2 linked regions of the Ovis aries genome follow. The protein of the gene in region 1 interacts with the protein of each later gene in a pairwise test. Links are inferred from orthologs where the notes say so. Each region holds a gene or a part of one and is shown on either strand. Other genes may lie near its edges.

Region 1 (4,252 bases):
AAAGGACAGTTTCTTCCTTGACATGTAGGACATGCCCTCATAGGTGGGAGAGGAGAAGCGGGGGGCTTCTTCATGGAAGAACGGGATACAGGAAGGAAGCAGGAGGGGAGACGTGTGGCCGTGGCTTTGTTAGGAAGGTGACCCAGAGATGCTGCTCTCGGGAGCAAAGTGCTCCCGGCTGTGACCTAAAGAAGCTGCATCAGTGCTAAGGACGCAGGAAGGGCCCTGGGTCCCGAGAGCTCCCGCTCAGATGCCTGAATCCCACCTGTGGCTGAGCTCCATCCTCAGCATCAGCCCTGGGCCTCCCTGGTGGCTCAGTCTGCCTGCAATGCAGGAGACCCTGGTTCCATCCCTGGGTCCGGAAGATCCCCTGGAGAAGGGAATGGCAGCCCACTCCAGTAGTCTTGCCCGGACAATCCCATGGACAGAGGAGCCTGGCGGGCTACAGTCCGTGGGGCTGCCGAGTAGCAAACGTGACTGAGCGACTAACACTTTCACTCTTCACTCTTCATCCTTCTCCCCAGCATCCGTTTTTAAAATACACGTGGTACTGGAAGGAAAGTGTATGAGATAACCAACTGCATGCTTCGGTCAGATCACCAGCCTTTTGTGTGGCAAATGGAGCCCACACAGGAGGGATGGTGGCTAGAAACGGGGGTAGGGCTAAGGGCAGAGGGGAGGTAATAAGACCAAAGCATCTTTCTGAAGCTAAGGGGTATCTAAGGAATAGGACCTTCGGGGATGGAGCTTTTGAGGTTGCTGGCCTCCCATCTGAAGCGTTGGGGAACAGAACTGGACAGTGACTTGCCAGTTTAGTTGCCAGGCACTGAGATTCTCTGCACTTCCACAGACCAGAAGAGACGTCCAAATGCCCTCAGCAGACTCCAAGTCTGTTGACCAAGTGTTTTTAAAGCCCTGCTTTTGCCAGCATTACTGAGGGTTATGGTCAGAGAATATTCAGCCCTCTGGGGTTACGTTTCAAGCCTGGGGAAGCTGAGACCCAGAATATGCTGGAAGGAAAGGCAGCTGCTGCTGCTGCTACTGCTGCTAAGTCACTTCAGTCGTGTCCAACTCTGTGCAACCCCATAGATGGCAGCCCACCAGGCTCCTCTGTCCCTAGGATTCTCCAGATCTGCCACTAATTTTCAGACCAGGTGACAAGGCTGAGTATCACGAGCATATGCTTAAATCAACTCCGCTCCCAAGTGCCATGAGAAAGTCAATGTTGGTTTTAATAAACGCTAACAGATAAGAGGATAATTTGCAGGTCAATGTAATTGATTTGGATAGAATCCTAATACTAACAGCAAAGAGGCTAAAGATGTCCTCTCTCATCGTATGTGGTAGTTTTAGCTAATTGTTTAACACAGAATCTTCCGAAATCCTCCTAACACTTTTTCAAACTGGCAGAGCTACAGGCATTGTCGGCCACAGATTCCATAGCTTCCAAAGAACAAACCCAAACAAAGGGGATTGAAAAAAGGCAACAGAGAGGGACAAGGCGGGGCCCTGGAGGGGTGATGGGACCCTATTCTGACCTGGTGAGGAGCCTTCATTAACAATCTCGCAGGAAACAGTGCCTTTATGAGATTCACAGAGAGTGCTCACTGGGAAAATGGGAGTGCTGGGGAGAACCGGTAGGTAGAAAAGGAATGGGGGGGGGGCGGGGGCAAGGGAGGTGGGGGGGGCAAGGGGGGGGGGGGGGGCAAGGGAGGTGGAGGGGCGGCGTGCAGAGAACTTGGGAAGGAAGTAACTAGGGAAGGCTGGCAAGTTAATGCCCTGGAGAGAAACAGATTAGAAAACACAAATATTTACTGTGAGGAAGGAAAACTGGAAATCAATAAGACCCGAAAAGACCTAAGGGTGATAACAAATAGAGAATCACAGACATTCGCAATGCAAATGAGAAGCGTTCAGGCAGGGTTGGGAGCTGGGGGGGTGCAGAGGCACTTTCTGGAGACACAGAGCTGCTCCTGCAATTTCTTCTCAAAACAAATGGACTCAGTCTCAGAACCAGAACGGAGCAGAATGTGGCAGATTCGTGCAGGGGCTTGGCAGTTAAGATGGGGGGTGGGGAGGCACCCTGTCCTAAAAGCCAGGGAAGAAGCAGGCGGCATGTGCCCAGCTTGTGGCAGAGGACGTGGGCACTGACCTGGCTTCAAGCCTCTAACTCCAGCTCCGCCATTACTAGTGGACTTGCTGAGGTTCCCAGTTCCCGGTCCTTTGCAATCTCTCCCTCGCTCTGCATGGCCCAGGGCCCCGATGTGACCAATCCAGTGCGCAGTCACTCTCCTTTCTTCCCCGTGTGACCCAGATCAACCCTTCCCCTGCCACCAGCCGTCAGCCTCTCCTTTGGGGAGGTCCAGTCGGCACACTGGTCCCTCTCACAGCCCGCTCAGATCATCTAAACGCAGAGGTGCCCCTTTATCCCCAGAGAGAAGGAAATGGCAACCCACTCCAGTACTCTTGCCTGGAGAATCCCATGGACAGAGGAGCCTGGCGGGGCCACAGTCCACGGGGTGGCAAAGAGTCGGGTGCGACTGAGCACGCTTCCCCCAGAGTGTGCCCAGCCCATCCTGGCAGGGGTCTGGAGCCTGACTCAGGACTTGTGCGCCTCCAGAGTACCCTGGACGCTCATCTGCCCGTGTGTGGCACAGGCAGCAGGTTGAACTCTAATTTCATGCCTCCAAGACCCCACTGGGGAGTCAACCCTCTCCCCACACATCCCTGGACAGAGCTTTCAGATCGTTACCTCTGCGTTGGATTCCTCCACCCTACATTTCAGCCCCTCTGGTTGCACCGCCATGATCTTCCCCCAGGGCCTTAGGTGACTCTGGAGAAGCAAGGCTGCCCCCTTTGTGACATAGCAGCAGAAACAATCCAATCAGGAGGACCCCTCCCGGGAAACGGCTGCTTAGCAGAAGGAGAACTGAGAATGTCCAGCCTGTCGCCCGTGCGCTGGCCTCCATTCTGACCCCCCCAGGCTCATCCCCCTTACGCTCTGTCCCTGGTACACGGCAGGCCCTAATTCTCCTGACCCCTCCACAGGAGCCCAGACCCCTCGGTCCATGTCCCAGGTGTATGGGTTCGGGCCTGTGCCCTTGATCCCAAGTCTCAGTTCTAATCCTCTACCCAGAAGTCCAGAGTAGTGCACAATGTGGGTGTGTGCTAAGTCGCTTCAGTCGTGTCCGACTCTGCAACCCTCTGGACTGTAGCCCGTTAGGCTCCTCTGTCCGTGGGATTCTCCAGGCAAGAATTCTGGAGTGGGTTGCCATTTCCTCCTCCAGGGGATCTTCCCCACCCAGGGATCGAACCCGGGTCTCTTGCGTCTTTTGCATTGGCAGGCGGTTTCTTTACCACTAGTGCCCCCTGGTGGTAAAGAAGCTCCAAACGCTCTAATTTTGAAAAGATTGTCACAGAAACTTCTAGTGGTCGGGCTGGATGGTCTTACCAGATCAATGAACCCACCCTCTCATCTGACCGGAAACCCAAGACTCCAAGTGACTAAGTGGACTGCCCCTGGCACACAGCTGGCTGGCAGCTGACCTTCAGCTAGAATCTGAGGCCCTGGCTACCACTGACCTGCAGTATCTTGCTAGAGCTTGGAAAGAGGGGGATTATTCTGGCCAAAACTGAGAGGTTACAGCCTTCAGTGTTCATCCCTACCTGAGGTAGAACCACATTGATGGGAATTTCTAGGCTTTCAGATCTGGTATCTCTTTTTCTTGTAAAATTTGGCCTCGAGTGCTGTGGAAAAGAGAAAATAGGCAGATTTCTGTTTTCCAGCCCATCGTCTGAGCCTCAGCTGCTCAACTGCAAAACAGGACTTCCTACTATTCACTTCTCCCCTCCTGTTAATTATGTACCTTACGAGAATGTGAAGATGGTATCTGATAAGATGCTTCATCAATCTCTGAACAGAAATTAAGACAGGTCTATATAGTTGATGACAAAGCCTTCTGAAAGTCTTTAGCTACTAGCTTTCCTAAGATTACTATTTCTAGCTCAAGGAAAAAGCCATACCAACGTTAGGTGCCAGGTATAGGTCCTGTGCAGAAGTTGGTCACCAAAACACTCAGAACATTCCAGAGGTGACATCACAAAACAATACGGTCTTTTTCAAGGCTCATGGTCTCTCTCTGAGCATCACAGGTGGGAATGAGGGGCCTGCTGGCCAGGCATCTGGTTGTGTCCACGTGGCCGGTCAGGGTCGGTGTGACACACAATAGCCCAGACACTGGACCCCTGTTTG
Region 2 (4,164 bases), on another chromosome or scaffold:
CAACAGGGTCATCGCATCAGACCCATCTTTAACTTTCCGGCCTCTCCTCTACTCCCCAGTAAAAGACCCTTTCTGGTACTCCTTTGCTTTGCAAATGCCTTCAACTTTGGAAAAGCCCTTCCTTACATTTTGTCCTCACCTTTCAGCAGCTTTTCTGCCAATTCCAACATGGCAGCTGAGCTGTCCACGCACATATACTCACGTAGGCTCTGACCCCAAGTACTATGAGCAGCCCTAAAGTGGCAAAAAATAAATCTTCAGTTCTTACGACAAAGTTATTCCTACAAGAGACCCCTCTGTCCCTAACCCAACCTTGAGGAAACAGAGCGCTATGTTAAAATAGTTGGAAAAACTAGCAATCTTATTTTCTTGTTTCATCTACAACTGTTAAGAAGACTCAAAAACTATATGAACACACACACAAAAATCTTGCTGACATGTAAATCCCTGTCCGAGATCAAATTCCTTTCCTTTTTTATCCTTCTAAATGTGGGTTTTTTCACTTGACATTTCTTTAAGTTCTGACCCTAATTTATATACCTTCTCATGCCTTGTCTAATCTGAGGGAAGAAACACATCAGTTCCAATTTTCTCTTCTTCCTTTGGTTCTCCAGTGTCTTGATATTGACGTGGCATAAGCTAGCTCTAACTCTCTAGAGTTGGAACTGACAGAGACAGAGAAAGATACTCACCAGGTGACAGAGCCAGTACCCGAGCCAAAGTCCATCAAGGTTTGTGGCTGGAAGTCTGGAAGGCGAGCTTGGATCTGAAGAAATATTCAATACCCCACAGTGGGGAAGACAGACACTTATTTAGGGTCTTGGTAAACATGAATTAGGGGACCGCAACAGAGGAAATGAGCTGTGAATGTCAAGATTCAGTGTAAATGCCTTATAGAATAGAAAGGTCTTAGAACAGTGATTCTAAACCTTTTTTTGGGTCAAAAATTCCTTTCAGAGGATAAAGACAACCTCTCGAAAAAAATGCACATGTAATGTCCCAAGAATCTTGCCCCAGATTACTTTATGAAAAAGGGAACTGATAGTAAAGTTTCTGGTTGGAAGTTGAGGGAATTTCACCTCATGGAAAGCTCTGGAAACTGCTGCAAAGCCACCATCCAGTCTTGCTGCCATATACACCAGGCTCAGTCCCTCATTGTAGCTGCCAGAAAAATCAGACATACCACTGGGAATTAATCTCTATCCTGCAGCTACCCTCCAGACTTTTAGGAAATGAAATCTTTGCAAAGGGCTCTTCCAGCTCAACCCTTTCACTGATCAACACAGACAAGTCTTAGGGAGGCTTATAAACCAGATTGCCTTTTCACACACTAAATGGTGTAATTGTATTTCCCCAACTCTCCTTCTCAAAAGCCAAACTTTTCCTTCTTCTGCAGCCCTTCTAGTCTCCCTTACCTCAATTCTTGCCAATGATAGGTAGTTCTGCGCAAGGCACGCAGGACTTCTTCATGATGTTTCTCTGTCTGACATGAGTCTGGGGTAAGAACAAGCACTGGAAGTAAGGACCTAGGAAGAACAGGGCTCAGATACAATATCTGAATTTACTGCCTGCCATTCCCTACCAATTCCCACATGGAAAATGCTTAAGAGAGAAGCCAAACTAGAGAAGAGTTTCAGGTAAGAATAATAATGACCACCACCACCATAGTATATCAGATAATATATTGCCTCTAACAGCAATTCATTCAATTCAACCAACTCTATCTCACAGGTTTTGTTCTGTATTAAAAGCAAGTGTAATAAAAAGTTAAAGGATAGGATAGACAGTACTTTGTAGATTTCTTCACTTCCCCCCAATTTAATAATGTGATGTCTCCAAAGTTCCTATAGGAAGGAAAGGGGCTTGAAAAACTTGTCTTACAATTGTGTTCACTTCAGTACTATTTTACCTACGGAGTGCCTACTACAAACCAGGTACTACAAGAAGTCAGGGAATAACTCATTGATCTTTACTAAAGCCCTGAATTTAATAGGCAATCTCTGAAATTACTTTTCTTCTTTTAGAAAGGCAACATTATGAATAACTACTCTGATTAGAAAGTCAAATAAGAAATCGCAGTATCTATTTAAGAGGCTGCAGAATTATTACTAGCTCTTCATTTCCCTCTGCTCTTTCTATTTGGCTTACTCTTTATTTTTGAAAAGACCTACCTGCGTTTTCCAGGATTTTTTTCTCAAGAAGAACAGCCCGTCTTTGTAGCTCCTCTGGCTCTACAGGTAAATGCCGGCTCCAGAGATAATTGGTTAGGGCTTGCACCTGTTTCTCCATATTGGGCATCGAGCTCTCTATGGACCAAAGATGCAAAGAGGAATCACTTGTACGCAGGGTCCAATCTTCGCTTCTTGAGCTTCCATTTCCCATCTTTACTCACCTAGCAGCAGTAACTGCGCGGCTTCAGCCAATCCTTGCGGCAGCCGCACGCATGACAGCTGCAGGATGCCAGGGTGCCGGCGATGGGGCCTCTTCCCCAGGAAATCGGACTTGTTATCCACGTGGGATACGCCGGGCACGAGGGCAGCAAGCGCCTGCAGAAAAAGGAAAGCTAATAGGGGGCACAGAGGATGGCTGCGGGAGGCTAAAGGAGGAGCTGCCGAAAGCGCACCTCCTCGGAGAGGAGCTGTTCTTGAGGTCCAAAGCTTCTTTTGAAAGCAGGGAAAATAGGTACTCACTCGGAACTGGGGCGCTATTCCAAAGCTGCGGCGCCATCTGCCTATTGTCAGCAGATACCGCGACCCTCTAACGGTCGCCATGGCGCCAGCGGTGAACCGGAACCGGAAATTTAGGTGCAGTGTCTGTCACTCTCACTAGCTGCAGCGAACATCCTGCGCGAACATTGGCGCCGGGCAGTAACAGCCAATGCGGAGAGCGAGTGCTTGCTAGTAGCCAATAAACAATCGATCTGTAAATCGCCTTGGAGGCCGTTTGTGCACCTCAATTCCAGCGTAGCTAGCCGGAAGCTAGGTGACTTCCACCCTGCGTTGTGATTTGTCTCCGCCTCCAGAAATTGGAGGGGCGGGGTTAGGTAGGTATGGGCTGACCCTATGCTGGGTTCGCCAGAAACGCGTCACAGGACGGCGAAGGATTTGTGTTTGTATTAACTACCAGTGTTCTTTCTTTCACCTTCTGGAGAACACTGAAGTCTTAGAGTTTTTACCTCCTGTGTGAAATGGAGTAAAGTATAGTCGCTCAGTCGTGTCCGACTCTTTGCGACCCCATGGACTGTAGCCTACCAGGCTCCTCCCTCCATGGGATTCTCCAGGCAAGAGTACTGGAGTGGGTTGCCATTTCCTTCTCCAGGAGAGACTGCAGTAATGGGAAGATGATCAAGGGAAGCCAGATTTAGGCGACCAAATTGATGGAATAATAGATAATAGATTTAATGTTTCTTACTTGTTAGTTTCTCTTAATATTAAACCAGTACTTTTAAGCCAGGTAAATAGCTACCATGAGAACCTTATGTGACAGGTAGTGTGGCAAGCGCTGTTATATGGTACTACCTTATTTAGTCCCCATACTTCTAAAGGATAGATTTTGCACCCAAGGAAAGTGAAAGTTCAGGTGGCTAAATATTCCGCTTGAGATCCAAGAGCTTGTTAGGTGAGAACAAGTTCTAAACCTTGGCAATCTAAGTCTGATCTTCACCTTTAAACATATGCTCTGCTGGTAGTATTGGTACATAGAATGCAAGTTAGCAAGTGCCAATTTGTCAAGTGCTGATGACAAATTGGTACTTTCTATCTGGGGGCTTCCCTGGTAGCTCAGTTGGTAAAGAATCTGCCTGCAATGCAGGAGACCTGGGCTCGATTCCTGGGTTGGGAAGATACCTTGGAGAAGGGAATGGCAACCCACTCCAGTATTCTTGCCTGGAGAATCCCATGGACAGAGAAGCCTGGGAGGCTACTGTCCATGGGGTTGCAAGAGTCAGACACGACTTAGCAACTAAACCACCACCGCCATCTACATCTATGAGGATTAAATGATGACCTGCTGTAGCTGCTGACCTGTAGCATCCTCTGAAAGGATTTCAGGGTGGAGATCAGGAATGAGGCACTTTGTGCTCTGGGAAAAACTGCCAGAAAAGTCCATTTATTTTCAGGAGATTATTTTTATGAGCCCAATTTTTGCATTTTCTCATATCTAGAA

The links. The genes of interacting proteins can lie anywhere in the genome.
Region 2: the proteins of CBY2 (region 1) and METTL17 interact in binary tests that used the Homo sapiens proteins (3 or more experiments, as listed by UniProt). The link is inferred for Ovis aries from reciprocal best matches to the Homo sapiens genes CBY2 and METTL17.

What each region holds. Positions count from the first base shown.
Region 1 is NC_056063.1:16,145,747-16,149,998, reverse strand, and holds the start of CBY2 (protein chibby homolog 2), read right to left. Parts: upstream 2,807-4,252; coding exon 2,753-2,806; intron 1-2,752.
Region 2 is NC_056060.1:24,452,298-24,456,461, forward strand, and holds the start of METTL17 (methyltransferase-like protein 17, mitochondrial), read right to left. Parts: upstream 2,803-4,164; 5' UTR 2,772-2,802; coding exon 2,691-2,771; intron 2,547-2,690; coding exon 2,393-2,546; intron 2,307-2,392; coding exon 2,172-2,306; intron 1,495-2,171; coding exon 1,416-1,494; intron 1,162-1,415; coding exon 1,080-1,161; intron 767-1,079; coding exon 693-766; intron 235-692; coding exon 140-234; intron 1-139. UniProt on the Homo sapiens protein: Mitochondrial ribosome (mitoribosome) assembly factor. Binds at the interface of the head and body domains of the mitochondrial small ribosomal subunit (mt-SSU), occluding the mRNA channel and preventing compaction of the head domain towards the body.